Macaca mulatta: one gene and its partners. The protein of the gene in region 1 purifies or fractionates together with the protein of each later gene. This does not show direct contact. Links are inferred from orthologs where the notes say so. Each region holds a gene or a part of one and is shown in the gene's direction. Other genes may lie near its edges. The genes, in order: ATXN2, PABPC4 and LSM12.

The links.
Region 2: the proteins of ATXN2 (region 1) and PABPC4 purify together in Homo sapiens (affinity purification with mass spectrometry; 4 studies listed by BioGRID and IntAct, with this or other methods). This does not show direct contact. The link is inferred for Macaca mulatta from reciprocal best matches to the Homo sapiens genes ATXN2 and PABPC4.
Region 3: the proteins of ATXN2 (region 1) and LSM12 purify together in Homo sapiens (affinity purification with mass spectrometry; 4 studies listed by BioGRID and IntAct, with this or other methods). This does not show direct contact. The link is inferred for Macaca mulatta from reciprocal best matches to the Homo sapiens genes ATXN2 and LSM12.

What each region holds. Positions count from the first base shown.
Region 1 is NC_133416.1:118,688,459-118,692,102, reverse strand, and holds part of ATXN2 (ataxin-2), read left to right. Parts: intron 1-1,151; coding exon 1,152-1,456; intron 1,457-3,418; coding exon 3,419-3,482; intron 3,483-3,644. UniProt on the Homo sapiens protein: Involved in EGFR trafficking, acting as negative regulator of endocytic EGFR internalization at the plasma membrane.
Region 2 is NC_133406.1:201,215,847-201,220,104, forward strand, and holds the start of PABPC4 (polyadenylate-binding protein 4), read left to right. Parts: upstream 1-1,401; 5' UTR 1,402-2,239; coding exon 2,240-2,432; intron 2,433-4,258.
Region 3 is NC_133421.1:68,427,510-68,431,634, reverse strand, and holds the start of LSM12 (protein LSM12), read left to right. Parts: upstream 1-1,199; 5' UTR 1,200-1,211; coding exon 1,212-1,335; intron 1,336-4,125. UniProt on the Homo sapiens protein: Nicotinic acid adenine dinucleotide phosphate (NAADP) binding protein. Confers NAADP sensitivity to the two pore channel complex (TPCs) by acting as TPC accessory protein necessary for NAADP-evoked Ca(2+) release.

The sequences.
Region 1 (3,644 bases):
ATAGCTTTTAAGTTCCTTTATTGTCATATTCCTTTTGGCAAGTCTATCATTTTCTGACTCACTTGTACATGTGTGTCCCACCCTTGGTCCAGCCATTGGTGCTTTGCTTTACTTCTTTATTTTTGTTATTTATTTTATTTTATTATCATTATTATTTTTTAATGAGAACAGGGTATCACTATGTTGCTCAGGCTGGTCTTGAACTCCTGAGCTCAAGCAGTCTGCTTGCCTCAGCCTCCCAAAGTGCTGGAATTACAGTGATGAGCCACTGTGCCTGGGTCATTGGTGCTATCCTTTTACTTTTTTTTTTTTTTTCCGAGACGGAGTCTCGTTCTGTCACCCAGTCTGGAGTGCAGTGGCGTGATCTCGGCTCACTGCAAGCTCTGCCTCCCATGCTCACACCATTCTCCTACCTCAGCCTCCCGAATAGCTGGGACTACAGGCGTCCGCCGCCATGCCCGGCTAATTTTTGTATTTTTAGTAGAGACGGGGTTTCACCGTGTTAGCCAGGATGGTCTCGATCTCCTGACCTCGTGATCTGCCTGCCTCAGCCTCCCAAAGTGCTGGGATTACAGGCATGAGCCACTGCGCCCAGCCCCCATTGGTGCTATTCTTTTATGTGATAGAGCCATCTTCTCTCTTTTCTTTGGATTTTTAAACATATTCCTCCTTTTACTTAGACTATTCTCCATCCCAAACACCTCTCCTAAACTTCTTTCACACCTTAGACTAGCTGAAACTTCCATTAAGAAACCTTTCTTTTTTATAGGTTGTTTTTTCTATAGAATCTCTTAGCATTTACTCATTTTGTTGTGAAGTGTCTGATCTTATTTAGATGACAAGTATAGGAGGATAGAAATTTTTTCATATTTTTCTCACCCAGCAAGCACAATTTCTGACATGTGGTAGGCATTCAGTAAATATTGAACTTTAGAGGCTAAGACATTTGAGTGCTTTGGTAACTGTGGTTGTGCTATATAGGTATTCTGTTATTGTTACTTTATAGTAAAAGCATTACTCTTAAAGTATGAAAAAAGCCTTATTCAAAACATTTCATGCATATAGTTAATATTACTTTGCTTGTGCTCATGGCAAAAATGGATTACTAAAGTTATTTAAGATATTTAAGTATAATTGTTTCCTTTATTTAGTTACAGCCAAGTTCTACTTCTGAATCTATGGATCAACTACTAAACAAAAATAGAGAGGCAGAAAAATCAAGAGATTTGATCAAAGACAAAATTGAACCAAGTGCTAAGGATTCTTTCACTGAAAATAGCAGCAGCAACTGTACCAGTGGCAGCAGCAAGCCGAATAGCCCCAGCATTTCCCCTTCAATACTTAGTAACACGGAGCACAAGAGGGGACCTGAGGTCACTTCCCAAGGGGTTCAGACTTCCAGTCCAGCATGTAAACAAGAGAAAGATGATAAGGAAGAGAAGAAAGACGCAGCTGAGTGAGTAAACCTGGAACTTAGACCATCCTGTTACTCAGTTAATTTTTTTTTTTTTTTTTTAAAGGCATTTAGGTCCTTCCAACTGTGAAGAATCCATCTGGACTTTTAGACTGCTTCATACATTGCCCTTAGTTTACAAACAGCTAGTCCAAACAAATGACATCTTAAGTAAATTAGGTTATTGCACCCTGTGCTACTCTTGTTCTTCCCCTTTTTTGCACCCCAGGGCTAGAAAAACAAGGCATAAATTAAGAAAAGTTTTTCTGTAAATGAACAGGAGTTGAAAAATTATCAGTTCAGGAGACCTATCTTTACTGGATTCCACTCATTAGTCACCCTCACTGTGCTGCTAGGATGAAAAACTGCCACTGTCAAGGAGAGAAGCATGCGATGCTTCTACTTGGAATTCAAAATATTTTTCATCAGAAACAGTGTTTTAGTTAATGTTTAGATTTGTTAAAATAGACTTAATTCTGCACATTCCATATATTTGTTAAATGGACTTTCAGGGGCTAACCTCAGAACTTAACTACCATTGACTTAGGTGTTCTGGGTACCAAACAATCCAGTTAAAGCTAAAGTTTTGGAATGTAGCTTATTGATAAATTGGGGACTGCTTATTCTTGATTTGAGGCAAATTTTTTTTAGAGCCATGATTTTCTGCAGGTATGTTATGTAGATAATATCTTCTCACATAAAAATTACTTCATGCTAGAATATTGGTATGTTGACTGGTGGCTCACACCTATAATCCCAGCACTCTGGGAGGCCGAAGCAGGTAGATTACTTGAGGTTAGGAGTTGAAGACCAGCCTGGCCAACATGGTGAAACCCTGTCTCTACTAAAAATACAAAAATTAGCCAGTCATGGTGGTAGGTGCCTATAATCCCAGCTACTCAGGAGGCTGAGGCAGGAGAATTGCTTGAACCCGGAAGGTGGAGGCTGCAGTGAGCCGAGATCATGCCACTGCACTCCAGCCTGGGTGACAGAGCGAGACTCTGTCTCAAAAAGTAATAATAATAAAAGAATACTGGTATGTTAAGAAGTGCTTTTAAGGATATTTTATAAGTAGCTACTGTCTTTTCAGCTCAAGTGTTTGTTGATTGGCCAGGCGTGGTGGCTCACGCCTGTAATCCCAGCACTTTGGGAGGCTGACTCAGGCAGATCACTTAAGGTCAGCCTGGCCAAGATGGTGAAACCCCATCTCTACTGGGGAAAAAAAAAAAAAAAAAAAAAAAAATTAGCTGGGTGTGGTGGCAGTCGCCTGTAATCTCAGCTACTCAGGAGACTCAGGTAGGTGAATTGCTTGAACTGGGGAGGCAGAGGTTACAGTGAGCCAAGATTGCACTGCTGCGCTCCAGCCTGAGCAACAGAGTGGGACTCTGAAGGAGAAAATAAAGTATTTTTTGATTGCCTTTGAGAGGAGCAGTTGTATATTACTCAGATTTTTAAAAAATTGTTCTTTTATGACTATATTCTTTAAGGGATTAAGGAATTGGCAATATAAGTGCGTATGTTTCAATAAAGAGGATTAGTGATCTTCTAGTGAGAACAGTTTAAATCTATGTTTAGCAGTGTTTCTTTTTTTTTCTTGAGACGGAGTCTCGCCCTGTCGCCCAGGTTGGAGTGCAGTGGTGCGATCTCGGCTCACTGCAAGCTCTGGCTCCCGGGTTCACGCCATTCTCCTGCCTCAGCCTCCCGAGTAGCTGGGACTACAGGCGCCACCACCACGCTCGGCTAGTTTTTTGTATTTTTAGTAGAGACGGGGTTTCACCATGTTAGCCAGGATGGCCTCAATCTCCTGACCTTGTGATCCGCCCGTCTCGGCCTCCCAAAGTGCTGGGATTACAGGCTTGAGCCACCGCGCCCGGCCTAGCAGTTTTTTTTAAATTGTCAGGTATGGAAGATTTTAGAACAACATAAAGTCCATGTAGATTTCACTGGCCTTTTTTTTTTTTTTAGGCAAGTTAGGAAATCAACATTGAATCCTAATGCAAAGGAGTTCAACCCACGTTCCTTCTCTCAGGTAGGTTTATTACTTTCTTTGAGGTTATTTAGTCCCCTAAAAAGAAAAATTAGTAGTCCTTCTTCCATACCTGTCATCTGAATTTTGTTTTAGTATGCTAAAACAACCTTCTTTCTTTTTCTTACATGGCCATTAGTGAATACTTTTTAGACATTAAAAAAA
Region 2 (4,258 bases), on another chromosome or scaffold:
TTGCCTTTTGGCAATTTCTGTTTTTGGTTGTCACAGTGATGGCAAAGTTGGTTCCTGGCACTTATGGAAGAAGGGATGCTATATATCTTGCAATGTGTGTGGACAGTCCCATATAACATAGTCCCATAAAGTGATATGACCTTTTTTTTTTTTTTTTTTTTTTGAGGCGGAGTTTCACTCTTGTTGCCCAGGCTGGAGTGCAATGGCATTATCTCAGTTCACCGCAACCTCTGCCTCCACGGTTCAAGCGATTCTCCTGCCTCAGCCTCCTGAGCAGCTAGGATTACAGGGGTTTCTTCATGTTGGTCAGGCTAGTCTCAAACTCCCGACCTCAGGTGATCCACCTGCCTCGGCCTCCCAAAGTGCTAGGATTACAGGCTTGAGCCTGGCAAGTGATATGACTTTCAAATGACCTGCCAGACCCTGATGCAGATGAAAAGTCTTTTTATAATTATCCAAGCGTATAAGAAACTTTAAACATAGGAGTAGAAAGTATTTCTGGGCCCTTAAATACAAACTAAATGTCCGGGAATGCCACCAGCATGTCAATAGAAGGGATGCTTGTGTTTGGTTTCATTGAAGCTTTACCAAAATGTGCTCATCTTTTCAGAAAATCCCATCACCCATGGATACTGCTTGCATTTCCAGCTCTTGACGATTCTACCTCTAGGCCAACAGTATTCTGAAAACTTCACAAACATTTACCTATTGGACCACCTATTACTTTAACTTATTTTATGTCACCTTCATTTCACAATTAGGCTTACTATCTAATTTTTTTTTTTTTTTAGATGGAGCCTCGCTTTGTTGCCCAGGCTGGAGTGCCGTGGCTCAATCTCGGCTCACTGCAAGCTCCGCCTCCCGGGTTCAAGCGATTCTCCTCCCTCAGCCTCCTGAGTAGCTGAGATTACAGGCGCGTGCCACCACGCCCGGCTCATTTTTTGCATTTTTAGTAGAGACTGGGTTTCACCTTGTTAGCCAGGATGGTCTTGATCTCCTAACGTCATGATCCACCCACCTCGGCCTCACAAAGTGCTGGGGTTACAGGCGTGAGCCACTGCGCCCGGCCCCATACCATTTAATTTTAAACCTCATGCGTGTGTGCGAGTTAAATGGCTTCTAGGTTCCATTCCCGGGTGATGGGTAGGAGGGTCTTAAGATTCATTGGTTATAGAAAGGGGCCCTGGGGGTCTCCTGCAACCGCGAGCTTAGGCGGTCCTCCGCGCGCCAGGGGTCGCTGTGGCGCCGCGCGGCCGCGCCGGGTCGCTCTCGCGTGGCCGCCCCGCCTCGGGCCCCCGGGCCGAGTGGGCGGGCACGACTGCGCCCAGGTCGCGAGGCGCCCTTCGACCAGCAGCGCCCGGGGCGGGCGGGTATAAATGGAGCGGTGGCTCCCTCGGCCGCCTCTCTCCGCCCCGGGTCGCTGCCGCCTGCGCCGCTTTCGGGCTCCGCAGCCTGAGGAAAAAAAGAGAAAAAGATAAAAAAAAATCCGAAAACGCTTCAAAATCCTGAAAAAAAAAAAAAGGAAAAGAAAAAGCGAATCCTCCTCGGAGAACCCGCGGGGAAGTCACTTTCGCACGCTTCCGGCCTGCCCCGCGCCCGCCGCCGCCGCGCTTGGCGTCCGTCGGTCTCCGTCCATCGGTCCGGGGGTGAGCCGCCCGCCCGGCCCGTCGCGCCCTCCCCACTCTCGGGCCCGAGCCCCGCGCCGGCCCCGGCGCACCACGTGTCCGCGCTGCCCTTCGCCGCCCGCCCGGGGCTCGCCGAGTCGGCGCCCACAAAGATTTGGTTTCCCTCTGCCCCGGCGGTTGTAATCTTAAACCGCCGGAGCCCGAGGCCTATATTTATAGAGAAACGCGTGTCCCCGGGGCCGCCGTGGGTAGCGTCCGGTCGCCTCTTAAAGGATTTTTACCGTTCGGAAGGGGATTCCCCGTTTAATTTTTTTCCTACTTTGATTTTTTGAAATTTGGAGCTTCGCACCAGGACCGCGGAGAAGTGCAAAGTCGTGGGGAGGGCCGTATTGTGCGGAGAGCCTTTTGTCTGCGGTGCCGCGGCCGTGGGAGCCGGCCCCCGCCTCCCGTTTCCGTCCCATCTCCGAGCCCGCCGACTCCAGCTCGTCCTCGCCGCCCCGGTGCCACCTGTGAGCCGCGGCGCGGGCCCGGGCTCTGAGGGCGCCCCTTTTGTCCTGCGGCGGGCCCGATAAGAAGTCCTCCTGGCGGGGCTCGGGGTGGTGGGGGGCGGGGAGATGAACGCTGCGGCCAGCAGCTACCCCATGGCCTCCCTGTACGTGGGCGACCTGCACTCGGACGTCACCGAGGCCATGCTGTACGAAAAGTTCAGCCCCGCGGGGCCTGTGCTGTCCATCCGGGTCTGCCGCGATATGATCACCCGCCGCTCCCTGGGCTATGCCTACGTCAACTTCCAGCAGCCGGCCGACGGTGAGTAGAAGCTGTGCCCACACGTGCGTGGGAGCCCGGCGGACCCCGGGAGTCGTCTTCTGGCAGGGCCCTCCTGCCAAGGAGGGCAGCATCACGACAGCATGTTGCCACCGAAGCTTGGAGCAGGGTGCAGAGATTGAGAACGCAGACCTGGCATCAGATGACTCGAGTTTCAATCTTGTTTCTACCACTTGCTAACTGGGTGACCTTGGGCTACTTACTGGTGTTGCTGGTAGTAGGGTTGGAAACCAAGGAAACTGTAAAACAGGATTAGAGTGAAGCCACTGGCATTCCACTGTGTGTGGTCCTTGTCAGTGGGGCTGGGCTGTTACAGACCCTTGCTTGTGCCCTTCACAGGCTGGCCAAAAAGGAGGGACGTTTGAAACACAATTCCCGCAAAAGTTCTACATTGTAGAGTTCCTGCCCGCTCTGCCACCTTTACTAACCTTGACTACCTGATGTTGTGCTGATAAAGGATGGGTCAGGGCAGGCAGGAAGCAGGGGGAAGGTTTCTGTGCGTTAAACTAGCAGAGATTTAGGTTAGTGCCACAGGAGCTGCGTGTGCCAGGCCAGCTCCTTAGTCTGTGTGTTTGCCACTGGAGTGGAGAAGTGCTTTGCGCTGGACAAATGGTATCCAGGCTCTGTGCTGTAAAGAGTGTTGTGGAGGTAGTTTGGGGAAGCGTCACTTGAAAATCTGGTGGCATTTGTCACCTCAGCTGTAACAGTGGTTTGCACTCGTCAGAGCCCTTTTACTTCATTTAATCTGAAGAAAATGGGACTCCTGAGAAGGAAAAGGAATGCAAAAAGTTGGAAACCAAGTTGGGACTCCCAGCACAGTGCTCTGCCACCTCAGATTGTGGCCTTAGCATGGAGAGAGGTATGTTGCAGGCGTGGCAGGAGTGAGGCCAAAGGAAATCTGATCAGAGGCTGCACGTGACTCCAGATTAGAAGGGAACAACTGCAGAGATCATTACTGGGAGAAACAAGCCATGCTATGGCAAAGGATCTCCAGGTCGCTAGTTTTGAGGTCCCCACTTTGTTTTCTGTCTGAGGCCCAGAGTTACTACTTGCCCAGGTTGCAGCTGAGACCAGAGAATTGGACATGTTAAGAGGAACTAGGTATTGCTACCGTCAACCCAGTATGCTCCAAGCTGAGTTCTGTCTATGGCTATAGGAGCGCAAAGAAGGTAGCTGAGTGTGGTCTTTTTAAGGGATAATGTACCACATTAGCTGTTGTCTGCCTTCTTGACTTTTGAACAAAAGTCATGTCACTTAGAGATAGCAGAAGCCATTGGTCAGTGTGTCTGCCAACACATACTTCTGCAGGACTTCTCCCTGCTATAAATAAGTGCAGCCAGATTTGTCAGACTAAGCCGGCTTGCCTTGTGCAGTGCTGTCTGGAAATAGACGAGGAGCTGTGTTGAAATGGGCTCCTTTACTGCTAATTAATGAAATAGTTTGCGATCCCAGCTATCTATCTCTGATCGCCATCACAAGCAAACTCCTCCTTTCCTGGACTGTTCCTGACTTGGATCTGTCTTGTCATCTCCCCTTTTCCCAACTGCCCCCCATACAGATGAGCCCACCTTCTGAAGGGGGTGGGGAAGTTTGTTGGAAATAATGAGTGAAAATAAATTCTCCTGGTTAAAGAAACAGTTGAGCTTGTGGAGCGTCAGAGTTGGGGAATTTTGTCCCCCCCCTTAAGTGAGATGTTGCCTTGAGGCAAGGAGCAGATTCCACTGCTCTGACCCTGTCTAAATCCCCTCATGGAGGAGGTTCTGGGTAATGTCACCGATAGGAGATGTCGTCACAGCCTTAAGGAAAAG
Region 3 (4,125 bases), on another chromosome or scaffold:
TTTTGCCTGGCTTTCTGGGGGAGAGGGCAAAAAGGAAGAAGAGGAAGTGTCTTGACTTCTAAGAATAATGGATGACTAAAGGGGAACTACCATTTATTAAAGACCTAGTACATGCCATGCACATATACACGTTATCGCATTTAAACCTCCTAACTATGAGGTAGGTATTATTATCTAACACAGTATAGCAGTAAATAGCACTGTCCTTGTAAATAGGTAGACTGTTTTTGCTAGTTGTGGAACCGTGGACAAGTTTAGTCTAAAACGTAGTTTCTGTAAAAGGAGGACATTGATACCTACCTCAAAGGGCTGTTAGATGCTCAAGAAGTGACAATACAAATGCCTATGAAGAAACAGGATCAGGTAATTTGCTTACTCAAGGTCAGGTGATTTAGTAATAGGTTGACCTGGGATTCTGGTTCCGGCTTATCTCACTCCACAGCCAATGTTCTTTCCACTATCACTCTCTAGTTACAATCATCTTTTTTTTTTTTTTTTGAGACGGAGTCTTGCTCTATTGCACAGGCTGGAGTGCAGTGGCACGATCTCGGCCCAGTGCAACCTCCGCCTCCCACGTTCGAGCGATCCTCCAGCCTCAGTCCTCCTAGTAGCTGGGATTACAGGCACGCGCCACCATACCCGGCTAATTTTTGTATTTTTAGTAGAGACAGGGTTTCACCATCTTGGCCAGGCTGATCTCGAACTCCCGACCTCAGGTGGTCCACCTGCCTCGGCCTCCCAAAGTGCTGGTATTACAGGCGTGAGCCACCGCTCCCGGCCGTTATAATCATCTTGTCCAAGTATTGTTAAGTCCTCTGAGGCTCTGATTCCTTATATGCAAAATGGGGTTAATATATTTTATAAAATTCATTCATTAAACTCTTGTGTGGAAGGTGTGCATATAATGGAGACTGCAGCTCTCTCCTCTTTCCCCCTTTCATTCCACGTAGGTCATTTATCCTTAACTTCTAAAATGGACTCTACAAGCATTTAACCGAGCGGACGCAGCTACACAAATATTTTTCAGATTCCCCTTTATTTCCTCTTCTTCCCTAGTCCACCTAGGCTCCCTAGCCACCCAGCGTCAGACCACGCCCCGGCGTGTGACGCAAGCACGCTCCGTGCGTCGCGTCGCGTCGCGGCGCTCACTAGGGGCCCGGCTTTCGCCCGCTGCTGCCGCCGCCGCCGCCGGCCGCGGCTGCACTCCCAAGATGGCGGCTCCTCCGGGCGAGTACTTCAGCGTTGGGAGCCAGGTGTCGTGCCGGACGTGCCAGGAGCAGCGGCTGCAGGGCGAGGTGGTAGCCTTCGACTACCAATCCAAAATGCTGGCTTTAAGTATCCTTCCCTGCGTGAAGCCCGAGTCCGGGCCGGCGTATAGGTGCGGTGGTCGGGGGGTGGGGGACGACGGCGGCGGCTGGGGCTCTCTCCGGGCCTAGGGGCGACCGGCTACCGCGGCGCCCGGGGCGCATGCGCATGGCCCTGAGTTCCCCTCCCCCTCCCGCGGGCCCTTCGGTCAGCTTTGGGGATCCTGTCTCCCCTTGCGGGAGCTGGGGCTTTACCGAGGATCAGTGGGTGGAGGAGGGCTTGACACGGGGATGGCTTTTCGGGAAGAACGTTATGAGAGGGGACACAGTGATTAGGAGAGGGGGTGGTGTTGGGAGGGGGCTGGTGGATTGGAGCCCGGATGGAAAGGAGGAGCGGGTGAAATATTATGGGGAGGGATGTTTAGGGTAAGGAACTGCTGGTAGGGCAAAGGTATAGAATTTAGGAGGGCATGTGCACTGATGGGATTTCGTCCAAGGAAGGGCGGTGGAATGGTGACCAAATTGGTCCTTGCCTGTTTTGGGGGAGAGTAAGTGCAGGGCAGAGTTTGTATCTGAACTGGGGATAGTGGCTTGTTTCGCTGATGCGTGTGTATGTGTGGTGGTGGGGGGGCTGTTCTGACTTTTAGGCTTCTCGGTCATTTGGAAATCGCTGTTTGGGGGATGTTTGCATTGGAAACCTGTTCCAGAGAGGGCTTGCCGGGGCTTATGTGGGTTGGGGATGTGTGAGTTACAGGTGAAAGAGTGAAGTTCTCATGCTGCCTTGATCAGTCCAGCACATGGAGTCCTTTTACGTAGTAGTAGCAGCCTCCCTTTTGAAAGCAGCAATGTTAAATTGATTGGAAAAGGTGGCCTGCTTCTTTGGGGTGGGAATGACTTCTGAATTACTCCAGGAAACTCAGTCTTGGAAACGAAACGCTTCTTGTTGGGATAAATGTGCCACAGCTTCCCCTTTTATGGGAGCTACAGGTGGGTTTATTGGAATCTTGAAGGAGTAATTTTTTATGGTATCTTTTTTTTTTTTTTAAAGATGGAGTCTCGCTCTGTTCCTAGGCTGGAGTGCGGTGACGTGATCTTGGCTCACTGCAGCCTCCGACTCCCTGGTTCAAGCGATTCTCCTGCCTCAGCCTCCGGAGTAGCTGGGATTATAGGCACGCGCCACCACGCCCAGCTAATTTTTGTATCTTTTTTTTTAACAGAGACGGAGTATCACCATGTTGGGCAGGATGGTTTCGAACTCCTGACCTCGTGATCTGCCCGCCTCGGCCTCCCAAAGTGCTGGAATTACAGGCCTGAGACACCGCCCGGCTTTGTTTTTTTTTTTTTGTTTGAGACGGAGTTTCACTCCTGTTGCCCAGGCTGGAGTGCAGTGGCTTGATTTGGGCTCACTGCAACTTCCGCCTCCCAGGTTCAAGCGATTCTCCTGCTTCAGACTCCCTAGTAGCTGGGATTACAGGCATGCATCACCACACCCGGCTGATTTTGTATTTTTTTTTTTTAGTAGAGACGGGGTTTCTCCATGTTAGTCAGGCTGGTCTCAGACTGCTGACCTCAGGTGATCTGCCTGCCTTGACCTCCCAGATTGCTGGGATTACAGACGTGAGCCACCGTGCCCGGCCATGGCATCTTTCAAAATGAAGTTTCCTACTGAGTCTGCTGCCTTTGAGTGGCAAGTATTTTAATTCATTTAACCACTGCTTGTAGATTTCTAGTTTAGGAAGATGTCCTTTGAAACTAATTATAGTAAGAGTAGTTGCTTTTTTTTTTTTTTTGAGACAGAGTCTTGCTCTGTTGCCCAGGCTGGAGTGGTGCAGTGGTGGGTGGTGCGATCTTGGCTCGCTGCAAACTCCGCCTCCCAGGTTCGTGCCATTCTCCTGCCCCAGCCTCCTGAGTAGCTGGGACTACAGGCACCCGCCACGACGCCCAGCTAATTTTTTGTATTTTTAGTAGAGACAGGGTTTCACTGTGTTAGTCTGGATGGTCTCGATGTCCTGACCTCGTGATCCGCCCGCCTCGGCCTGCCAAAGTACTGGTATTACAGGCGTGAGCCACTGTGCTAACAATTGTTGCTTTTTCAAAAAATGAGAGGTTACACCTGGAAGAAATAAGACCTTTTACATTAGTGGTTTGGTTGGAAGGGTCTTGAAACTAGGAAATACTCTTTTTTTTTTTTTTTTGGGGGGGGATGGAATCTCACTCTGTTACCTAGGCTGGAGTGCAGTGGCATGATCTCAGCTCACTGCAACCTCTGGCTCCTGTGTTCAAGTGATTCTCCTGCCTCAGGCTCCCGAGTAGCCAGGATTACAGGCATGTGCCACCACACCCGGCTAACTTTTTTTTAGTAATGACGGGATTTCGCCATGTTGGCCAGGCTGGTCTCGAACTCCTGACCTCATGTGATTCGCCTACCTCAGCCTCCCAAAGTGCTGGGATTACAGGCGTGAGCCATTGCGCCTGGCTGAATTACTCAATTTTTAGTTGACATACAGTAGGCTCTTAAATGTTTGGAGAATGAATGTGTGAATGAATGAATGGATTAACTGGCTGGATCACCTTGGGTGAATTTCCTTTCCAGTGTGTAGTTTTCTCCTTTGCAAAATGGGAAAGCTCACATCTGAAAGAGTAAAAAGAACACTGTGCAGATACAGAGTATTATAGGAAGAACAGAAAGGTCTAGCTCTTTTGTCTGACTCGTAGGTTTAAGACAAACGCATTAAATCTGTGTTATGCCTCCCCATAAAGCCAGTAGAGAGAAGGTGACAGAACTCCTTTGGAAGCTTCCAAGGATTTGGGCAGGAGGAAG